Macaca fascicularis: one gene and its partners. The protein of the gene in region 1 purifies or fractionates together with the protein of each later gene. This does not show direct contact. Links are inferred from orthologs where the notes say so. Each region holds a gene or a part of one and is shown on either strand. Other genes may lie near its edges.

Region 1 (3,489 bases):
CAAAAACCTACAGCAAGCATCATACATGACAGTGAAACCTTGTGTCAGGAACAAGACAGAATCACTACTGCTTCTATTGGCTCCTGTACTAGATCCTGACCAGAGCAGTAAAAGAATCAAAGACAGTTTCTAGGGTACAGAATTGTTCAGCTGCTCCTACGCTGGCAAAGGGGCAGAGAATGAAACAGAAAAGGAAAAACTAGAAGTTGGACAACCAAGAGAGAGGTGAAAGAAGGTGGCCAGAGATGGCTGGTGTTCCAATGTAGCAATGGGGAGCCAGGGCCCCCAGTGCCCCCGGGCTCTGGGAGTCAGAACAATGGAAAGAACAGACAGGGTAGAGGTGAAAGTGGGGGTAGGGGTGGGGGTGGCTGGGAGCTGACCAGGTGGGTGTCAGAGCTGAGAGGGTAGGGTGTTACCAGGGATAGCAAAGCAATGCTCATCCCAGCTCCTCAGGGTGAGCCACCTCTCCTTCTAGGGAACAGCTTCCTCCACAGCAAAGCCTCCACCTAGAAACATCTACACTCATCAGTACAAAAAGCTTCAGCCTTTATTAAACAAAGGAGGAGGTAGAAGACAGATAAGGGAACAGTTCAGGATCCCTTCTTTCCCCTATACATACACAAACATACAAAACACAGACACACCCCAGTGAATGACAGGGACCATCAGGCAACAGATTGAAGGGCAGAGGGAGGCAGCACCCTCCGAGAGTTGGCCCGGACCCAGGGGTGGGCTGAGACCTGGGCCAGGGGCAGCCGTTCCGAGGGGTTATGCCTGAGCAGTTTAGAGATGAGGTCCTGGGCTCCCGTGGGCACAGAAGCGGGGAACTTTAGGTCCACCTGCAGGTGTGAAGAGATGGAAGGGCTGCATTACTTTCACCCTGGCTACATCTTCCTTGACTACCCATTCTGTCTGGAGTTACTTAGGGCCACGCGGATACACTCTGCCCACCCCCAGCCCCCCAGCCCCTGGCCTCTGCAGCTGGCACGAAGCCCAGGCCGCCCTCCCACCTTGACGATGCGCCGATAGGTCTCGTTGTGTGATGCGCTCTCAAATGGTGGGTTTCCCACCAGCAACTCATAGCAAAGCACTCCAATGCACCACAGATCCACCTTCTCGTTGTGTGTGCGCCCCTCAATCATCTCTGGGGGCAGGTAGTCCAGGGTGCCACACATTGTCTTCCTCCTGGGAGGGATAAGGGGCGTGGGCAGGGGTCCCAGTGACATAGGAACTCTCCTTTCCCTGCTACCTGATGGCAGGGAGCCAAAAGACCACGGGAGGTACCAGGGGAGAGGTCCAGCCAGGCAGGGTTACTGGAGTGGGGGTGGGGTTGGGGTGATGACATATCTGAAAGCCCCAGAGGTAAGCCTGCACACAGCCCCAGCAACTCCACGCTGAAGGATATGTCTTAATGAGATACTCCGCTATGAGGGCAGTGTTCATTTGGAGTTCATTTTGGAGTTCACTGGGGACATCTCTAATGCCCATCAGGCATGTTCTGCTTAAATAAATCAGCTACTATGTGATACTATGAAACCGTTAAAAAATGATGTGGGAGGAAAAAAGGCCACTGCTCCGGGCTTTTTTGAGACAGAGTCCAGGCTGGAGTGCAAGGGGGCGATCTTGGCTCACTGCAACCTTTGCCTCCCGGATTCAAGTGATTCTCGTGTCTCAGCCTCCCGCACAGCTGGGATTGCAAGTGTGCACCTCCATGTCTGCTTAATACATTTTGTATTTTTAGTAACGATGGGGTTTCGCCATGTTGGCCAGGCTAGTCCGCTAGCCTTGAACTCCTGGCCTCAAGTGATCCACCTGCCTTGGCCTCCCAAAGTGCTGGGATTAGCAGGCGTGAGCCACCGCACCTGGCTAAAGTTTTACCATTGGCTCATACGGGGATCAAACCCATGACCTTGGGGTTCTTAGCACCACATTCTAACCATTTTGTTTGTTTTTTTTTAGAGGAGTCTCACTCTGCCGTCCAGGCTGGAGTGCAATGGCGCAATCTTGGCTCACTGCAACCTCCGCCTCCCAGGTTCAAACAATTCTCCCGCCTCAGCCTCCCGAGTAGCTGGGATTACTGGTGTCCGCCACCATGCCCGGCTAATTTTTGTATATTTAGTAGAGACAAGGTTTCAGCATGTTGGCAAAGCTAGTTTCGAACTCCTGACCTCAGGTGATCCGCCCGCCTCAGCCTCCCAAAGTGCGGGTATTACAGGCGTGAGCCAGCACGCCCAGCCCCTGGAGAGGTTTTAATGGCCCCGCCTCACACCCAGGGCTGGCCTCCCAGGCCACCATACCTCAGGGAGGGCGCATGCACAGACCAGCCAAAGTCAGCAATCTTCAGCTCTCCCTTGAGCCCTAAGAGCAGATTCTCTGGCTTTATGTCTCTGTGAATCACCTTCTTCCCGTGGCAGTACATCAGAGCATCTGCCAACTCCTCCATGATCTGGGAGGGGCAACGACAGGCAATCAGACAAGGATGGACCTCCAGCTACAAGCAGCACACCCTCAGCCTCCAGCCCCCTACTGGCGGCCCAGGTGCCCACCCGCCCGGACCGTGGCTGTTCGCTGCTCGTCAAATGTGCGGCTCTTCTGCAGCTCCTTGTAGAGCTCCCCGCGGGGCGCATACTCTAGAATCAAGTAGATCCTCCTCCGGTCGTAAAAATAGTTGTAAAGACGCAGGATGTTGGGATGGCTGAGGGAAGAGACAGAGGAAGCCTCAGGCCAAAGGCATAAAAGAGCTGGGAAAGATAATAGGAGCAAACTGGGGTCAGACGGGGCCCAGGCTGGGGACACCAGGAATGGGAGTGGGAAGGGGAAACTGGAGGCAGATTTCTGGATTCAAGGCTCTGGCCAGGACTAAGGGCTAAATGGGGCTCACTAGCCGTAGCTACAGAGAACGCAATCTGGATGAGGTAGGGCTGAGTGAGGAGCTGGGGTGAGGGAGCAGAGGGGCTTCGGCTCAGGGGGCATCAACCCATACTGCAGGTGGGCCTGGATTTCGATCTCTCTGCGCAGCTGATGCTCCACGCCCTCCTTCTCTATCTGGGACTTGAAGAGGACCTTGAGCGCCACGATGAAATGGCTTTTCTTCTCCCGAGCCAAGTACACGTTTCCAAACTTGCCTTTGCCCAGAGGACGCCCAATCTCAAAGTCATCAATTGTGAAGTGCCGCCTGCTTAGAAAGTGGGGGAAGGCAACTCAGAACCGGTTTTGGTTATTAAGAGGTTTGCTTTCTCTCCGCTTCCTCATCTCATCCTGTCCCCCGCCCCACTTCTCTTCATCTCTACTCCTCCTGCCCTTAGGTTTTATCTTCCCGACTTCCTGCCCATTCACTGTCCCCTCACCTCCCTCCACCCCAAGGCTTGGGGCACTTACATTAAGATGTTGGGTGTCCCACTGCTGTTCTCCACCACCTTCTGGCCAGGGGCAGCTAAGGAGACAACAGGTAAGTTGAATGAGAGCAGGGATGACCTTCTCATCCCTAAA
Region 2 (3,651 bases), on another chromosome or scaffold:
GGTCAGCAGGATGGGCGAAGGCCTCAAAGGAAATACGGCGTTGTCGTTCTGGGAGGAATAACACGTTCTGAATCTGGAACTGCCCGGAATAACTTTGGTTCTCTTGTATTTACATCTTTGAAGACCATGATCGAAGCAATATTTCCACAACGATAGCAGTAATTAGGAGCAGACCATACTGTCACCAGCTTCTCATCAAACATAAATTTATAGCCTTCGTGCACTAGTTGATGTGCTCTGCAGATGAGTTTTAAGTTGTTGATATGAACAAACTGCAATTTAGAAAGACACTGTAAGTATTTAGCACTTAAAAAACAATTACCCTACATCCGTAAGAAAATAATCATTCAAATACCAAATCCTATTACTACTAAATGCATCATGATTATAGAACCCACTCTATAATTATCCCCAACAATTTAATAAGTTTAGGCAAACAGAGCAATTTTGGCCTGAGTCAACTACACAGCTATAGAAACTGTATAGCTACATAGTTAGAAATTTCTGGAAGAAAAAGCATTCAATAGGTACTATGAATCAAAATTTTGTGTTTTCTGATTTAATAATAAAGATATTACTATCAGTATCTACAATTTACTGATAGTATGTTTACAGTTTACTATAGATGTTGCAATAATTCTGAAAGAGATTATTCTTTTGCAACTTAAGGAAACAAAAGCTCAGACTAGATAAATAACTTATCTAAATTAAGATGCACTGATACAGGATCAGAATCTAGTTTTCTGACTTCATTATGATGCTGGAGCACTTCCCAATATAAAGTCATGTGTGTGTGTGTGTATTTAGTTGAAAACAGTTAAAGTTCAAAGTACTGCCTATCTTGAAGATGGTGGGGTAGCATCACAAAGCTGTTAGCATTGAGTCTCTGGACCGACTTTGATTCCAGTCTCTGCAGCAGCAGTGATCACTTAGTGAAGAGTGCTTAGGATAGTTGGCCAGGATCCTGAATATCAAAATCTTCAGCAGCAGCTCCCACCAGGACTTATCTCAGAAAACTGCTGACTGCCTGGGCCTGGAGCTCAGCAAGGTAGTGACTAAGAAATTCAGCAACTAGGAGACCTGTATGGAAATTGGCGAAAGTGTACGTGGAGAGAATGTCTACATCATTCGGAGTGGCTGTGGTGAAATCAACAATAATTTAATGGCACCTTTAATCATGATTAATACCTGCAAGATTGTTTCAGCCAGCCAGCTTACTGCAGTCATCCCATGCTTCCCTTATGCCCAGCAGGATAAGAAAGACAAGACTCGGGTGACAATCTCAGCCAAGCTTGTTGCAAATATGATATCTGTAGCAGGTGCAGATCATATTATCACCATGGACCTACATGCTTCTCAAATTCAGGGGTTTTTTTTGACATCCCAGTGAACTACTTATATGCAGACCTAGGTGTCCTGAAGTGGATAAGGGAGAATATCTCTGAGTGGAAGAACTGCACTATTGTCTCATCTGATGCTGGTGGAGCTAAGAGAGTGAACTCCATAGAAGACAGGCTGAATGTGGACTTTGCCTTGATTCACAAAGAAGGCCAATTAAGTGGATCGCATGGTGCTTGTGGGAGATGTGAAGGATCTGGTGGCCATCCTTGTGGATGACATGGTTGACACTTGTGGCACAATCTGCCATGCAGCTGACAAACTTCTCTTAGCTGGAGTCACCAGAGTTTATGCTATCTTGACTCCAAGTATCTTCTGTGGTCCAGCTATTTCTCACATCAACAACGCATGCTTTAAAGCAGTAGTAGTCACCAATACCATACCCCAGGACGACAAGATGAAGCACCGCTCCAAAATACAGGTGATCGACATCTCTGTGATCCTTGCAGAAGCCATCAGGAAAACTCACAATGAAGAATCCATTTCTTACCTATTCAGTCATGTCCCTTTATAACACAGTTACTTCTGAGGTTTTTTAAGAATAAAATCCACCCCACCCCTTGTTTTCCCTTGGTATTTGATGACAAATTCAGAAGACCCAGCTTACTCCAGTGTAGCTTTCAATATCCCACATCAGGTATATCTGAGCTTATCCGAAATGGAGAAAGACGGGTTGAGATTAACTGCTGGGACTTCCTACCTGCACTGTCTCATTCTGGCTTCCTTGATGATTTTGTGAGTCTTGCAGCTTTAACAAGAGCTCAGCTGTTACAAGATTTCAGACTTTTGAGGATAGTGGGGGTGTCTGACTGTGATTGGAGAAGCTCAGACTACCTTGCATGTGAATGCTTCAGGGTTTTCTTTGTTGAGAACAACTAGCAACAAAGCCAACCCATGTGTGAGCAGTTCTCCCCAAGGTCTATGCTAAATTATGGCAAGAGCCCTGGGCAACCCCAAACCTAGTCCCAGTGGCTGAGCACCCTGTAAGGCAGGAACAGGCAGTTGGACTTGAGCAGCCATGGGGTGGGGGGTGGGGGTAGTGGAGGGGGGAAGCAGCACAGTGCAGCAAATGTTTCTTGGGAGGAAGAAGCCTGATTCATCATCATCTGCTTGACTACGTAGCTTGGATTCTCTTTTGTACCTATTCCTTTGATTTGGCTTTACTTTCATCCATCTTGATCCTTTCCTGGCCAAATATCCGCTTGCGCCCAAAGGAACACGGCACCATAGTCCTCTGGAAAGCAAATGTGCTTCCTGCTATGTAATCGCTAACATTCACATTACATGATTTGCTGTAGCTTGATCTTCCTTAGCCTACTACCACTGTGGCAGTAGGTTTTAGGTGGTCTCATAGTGCCTTTTGATTAATTTAAGTATTTAATTGCCATCTTCCTTCTTTGGATCTACTTGGCATTTCAAATGAACAGAGATTTCTGTTTTAAAAAAAAAAAAAAAAAAAAAAGGCCAGGCGTGGTGGCTTATGCCTGTAATCCCAGCACTTTGGGAGGCTGAGGCAGGCGGATCACGAGATCAAGAGATCGACACCATCCTGGCTAACACAGTGAAACCCCATCTCTACTAAAAATATAAGCGATTAGCCAGGTGGCGGGCGCCTGTAGTCCCAGCTACTCAAGAGGTTGAGGCAGGAGAATGGCATGAACCTGGGAGGCAGAGCTGGCAGTGAGCCAAGACCAGTCACTGCACTCCAACCTGGGTGACAGAGCAAGACTCCGCCTCAAAAAAAAAAAAAAAAAAAAAAAACAGATTGACATAGGCCAGGTGCGATGGCTCATGCCTGTAATCCCAGCACTTTGGGAAACCAAGGTGGGCAGATCACCTGAGGTCAGGACTTCAAGACCAGCCTGACCAACATGGTGAAACCCCATCTCTACTAAAAATACTAAATTAGCCAGGCGTGTTGGTGCACACCTGTAATCCCAGCTACTCAGAAGGCTGAGACAGGAGAATTGCTTGAACCCAGGAGGCAGAGGTTGCAGTGAGCCGAGATTGCGCCACTGCACTCCAGCCTGGGCAATATGAGTGAAACTCTGTCTCAAAAAAAAAAAAAAGATTGATGTTATTGGCTCTTGTAGAGGAAACTAATAAAGTGTCTGTATCTGTGTGATTTGAGGTCTTAAAAAAAAAAAAAAAAAAAAGTACTGCCTAGTTTGGTCTTGACATTTTGTTACTTAATTACAGTATTTGAAAGGAAGGGGGCCGGCCGGGCACAGTGGCTCACACCTGTAATACCAG
Region 3 (3,751 bases), on another chromosome or scaffold:
TAATCAAACTTCAAAATAAGTATATTCTAAACCTAGAATCTAAGCAACTATTAAATACTGTTTTCAGTGGCTAACTTTTTTTTTTTTTTTTAAATAACGCTGCAAATCGTGTCATTACGAGTTCAGGCAGAAAGCGGTGGATGTGTCCCCAAAGGGGTTTGAGCGCGAAAGATCCCTACTACGTCCAAGGTAGCATTTGCCAAACGATATATATTTGGGTGAGCCCGAAAAGCGAGATCTGAACAAATAACACCAGGCAGAACGACCGCTCTTCCAGTTGATGGGACAGGAGCAGGTGGACTTGTGCTTCAAAGAATATCGTTTTATTCTTAGCCACATGCTCTCACCAACAGCTGGGTTTTAAACCTTCTCGCAGTCTTCCCCAACGCCCCAGTTTCAGACTGCAAGGGAGGGAGCAGGACTTCAGGCTCCTCTCGGCCAGTGCAGACACAGGCGAAAGGGAAGGAGGGAGGGAGGGAGGGGCCCACGGCCCCGAGGGGCGTGGGAGGCAGTTCGGGCCAGCTCGGCCCCGGAACCGTCCCTTCCCGGACGGTACCACCTGCGGACCACTCTCCTAGCCCGAGCTTCGGGGCCTACAGAGCTGTGGGGCGCGGCTGCCGTCAGTCCGGCCGAGCCGCAGCAACGGGGAGGGAGCTGGGGGCGTCAGTGAATAACTCTGGGATTTCAGGAGCGGAAGGAGGGCAAAGGGGGAGGTGGCATGTGGATCCCCCTCCATGGTGGGACGCTGGAGGTGACCTTCGGGTCTCCGAGTGCTCCGTCCCCGTCCCTGCCCGGACCCCTTCCCAAGTCCCAGACCCGCTGCTCCTCTCACCGTCTCGGCTTCTGTGTGCTGGGGTCCGGCACTCTGACCCCCCATTACCCCGCGGAGGAAATTCATCTTGCCGTTCAGCCACCAGGTTTACCGGCCCCTCCGGAAAAAAAAACGAAGACAACTTCCCCCGCCCTCCGCAGGGCCTGGCCCCCAGTCCCGCACTCTACACTCTCCTACTGCTGCCACCACCGCCTCCAACTCGGCGGCCACTCCAGCCCCCTAAGCCCGGAAACAGCCGCCACCAGCGGCCAAGATGCGCATGCGCGGGGACGTGGCATTACGTGGCGGCCCGAAGGTTGAAGGCAAAAGGGGAGCGGAGGCGAAAGGAACCTCGTAGCTAGGTTCCACCGAAGCCCCACCCACTGCGCAGGCCCCGCCTCCCGCCGCAGGGGCACGCCTCCTCCCGCCCTTCGCGGATTGATCCTGCTGGCCGCAGCCACCCACGTGGTCGAAGCCCGGCCCTGCAGGCTGGAGAGGATTTGATTAGACTACGCGTTTCGACTTGCAGGGTGTTTAATTGTTGCCAAGCGGGACTTACTGCAAGCTATCAAATCTGAGGTCTTATTTTGTTGAGTCGAAAGTGAAATTTTTCCTTCGGCCGACGTGACAGGTAAGGGTTCCTGGCCCCTGGGAGGGTTCGCTTGGTTTGACGGTTTACTAGTACCAGCGTTGTGGCTTTCTGATCCCGGTAAATTGCATTTATTTACAGGGCTTTGTTTGGTGGTAAAAAGGGTTACTAGACACCCCTCATTCCACTGCCACTGGAGGGCGCATTTCTCAGCTCTTTCTCTTCAAACCTGCTGAAAGGAATTCCTAGATCTAAACACCAGGTACACCTCTATTTTCAAGTGTCATCAGGAGGAAACCCACCAAACCCTACATTTAGCTTGCTAGAGAAATACATTGTTCTGCTGTGGCAGTTTGGCGAGTAACATAATGTTTTGTTATTAACTCTCAACCCCTGTGTTTTCAATTTTTTTTTTTAACATGAAAAAATGTCTTTCTCTAATTGATATGCCTGTTCCTTTGGCAGTGAGGTTGTCAGTACACACGCTTCTAGAATAGTCTTGTACATTTCTTGAGGCTAAAAAGCACAGGTCTAGTTAGCTAACTGACTCATGGACCTCTCCCCTTGGATTCCCCACGGGTCTCAGATTCAGCATTTAAAATTGAGCTCATCATCTACCCCTGCCTCCCGTAAAGAAAAAAGTCAATATGCTGCTTCTACTGTGTGCGTGCGTGCTCAGTAGTACCACTGTCCAAATAATTGCCTAAGCTAGACAGGAAGCTGGGAAGAATCTTAGACTCTGGCTTTCCACCCACACGTGTCCAATCAATAGTCATGTCCTATCATTTCTGTTTATAGAATATTTCTTAAATAGGTCCTCTGCTCTCCATCCTCGATGCGTGTGACATAGATTACGTTCTTCTCATCATTTCTCATTGAGATTACAGCAACAGCCTCCTAACTAGTTTGTCTGCATTCAGCTCTGGCTTCCTTCCAGTCCAATCTCCAGTCCATCCTTGGGTGAGACTAACAACAGCAAAACATCTGTTCATGTCAGTCCTCTTAAAATCTTCCAGTTCCCCATTCTTTCCAGAATAAAGTCCAAACTCCTTAGTTTGTCATACAGGCCTGTTATGATCTGGTTCCTGCCTACTTTTTCAGCTCCTGCCTCCCCCACATACTCTGGGCATTTTTCTCAGACCTGGATATGCCCTTCCCCTCCCTTCTCTTCATCAAGCAAACTCCTGCTATTCCTTAAGACTCAACTCTGGCATCATTCTTGAAAGCTTTCCCTAAAATCTAGGTACATATCTATATGTTAGCACTTTGCAGTTATTAATACTGTATATGGTGTACATTCAATAAATGCTTGCTAAACCAAACTGTTAAGGGCAGGACTATTTTATTCATTTTATATCTCTGTTGCTTACCACTGTCTCATGAAAGGTGATATTGATGGATAAATGAATAAATCATTGAAAGAATATATGAATATTACACTAAGGAGGAGGTTCCCTTTTTTTAATCTGTAAAGTGAAACTGTAGGGAACACATCATAGGCAATGTGTTTCCTAGGGCCAGGGTTTTAAGCCTGGGCAACTTGGAGAATGGTGGGGTCATACTGCCAAAAATACTGTGCACTAAGCATTGTCCTCTGCTTTAAAACTACACACTTGACATTTTACCGTAGACATTTTCCACGGGAGCATTTTGTTGCAGCCTAAAAAAAGTAGTAAATTACTCAGCATTTTTATTACTAAGAAATGGATGCAAAGAGCTTCACTTAAGCCCCTAAGCTTCACCCCTCCCTGAACCTCACTTCACCTTCTCACTGAACCTCACTCTACCCCATCATCAGGAATGAGGCTCATAGATGGAGTGGGCCACAAATGTCTATTACTCCTCTTATTTAATAATTGAAAAGAGTGCCTTGACATTTTAGCAAAGTTGTTTAAAGGCACCAGCCTTGTCAAATGTCCTGTTTTGTTTTAAACTTTGGTGAGTACAGTAGGTTACTGTACTTTAGTGAGTAAAGTAGGTTACTATACTTTAGTGAATATAGTAGTGACAGCTTACTATGAGTTTTCCCTGCATTTGACCTGTTTTCTTCCCTAACAGCATCCCCTGCACAGGAGTGATGGACAGTTGGGTGCAAAGGTGATGAAGGTGGGATCCCCGAGGCATTGTCACTAGAGAACAACCATGAGATGGACTCCTTATATCAGAGGAATAGTTACATATTAATCCACTTCTACTGATTTTGTAGAGTGAGAAAAGTCAGGGACTGTGTTATATTCCTGTTTGCACCCTTTAATCATCTAGTATAATTCCTTTAATATGGTAGATGCTCAGGAACTACCTGAGTTAATAAAGGAAGAGAAAACATGAACAAATTGTGACAGCCTGACTTG

The links.
Region 2: the proteins of AURKB (region 1) and PPP6C purify together in Homo sapiens (affinity purification with mass spectrometry, with the first as the bait; 3 studies listed by BioGRID). This does not show direct contact. The link is inferred for Macaca fascicularis from reciprocal best matches to the Homo sapiens genes AURKB and PPP6C.
Region 3: the proteins of AURKB (region 1) and G3BP2 purify together in Homo sapiens (affinity purification with mass spectrometry; 3 studies listed by BioGRID and IntAct, with this or other methods). This does not show direct contact. The link is inferred for Macaca fascicularis from reciprocal best matches to the Homo sapiens genes AURKB and G3BP2.

The regions. Positions count from the first base shown.
Region 1 is NC_088390.1:8,284,824-8,288,312, forward strand, and holds the end of AURKB (aurora kinase B), read right to left. Parts: intron 3,434-3,489; coding exon 3,379-3,433; intron 3,179-3,378; coding exon 2,984-3,178; intron 2,696-2,983; coding exon 2,557-2,695; coding exon of another isoform or gene 2,547-2,556; intron 2,447-2,546; coding exon 2,298-2,446; intron 1,186-2,297; coding exon 1,011-1,185; intron 840-1,010; coding exon 666-839; 3' UTR 530-665; downstream 1-529. UniProt on the Homo sapiens protein: Serine/threonine-protein kinase component of the chromosomal passenger complex (CPC), a complex that acts as a key regulator of mitosis.
Region 2 is NC_088389.1:18,908,348-18,911,998, reverse strand, and holds part of PPP6C (serine/threonine-protein phosphatase 6 catalytic subunit), read right to left. Parts: intron 2,704-3,651; exon of another isoform or gene 1,163-2,703; intron 273-1,162; coding exon 24-272; 3' UTR 1-23.
Region 3 is NC_088379.1:58,151,779-58,155,529, forward strand, and holds the start of G3BP2 (ras GTPase-activating protein-binding protein 2), read left to right. Parts: upstream 1-1,313; 5' UTR 1,314-1,442; intron 1,443-3,751. Other genes in the region: USO1 (general vesicular transport factor p115), read right to left, coding at 833-898.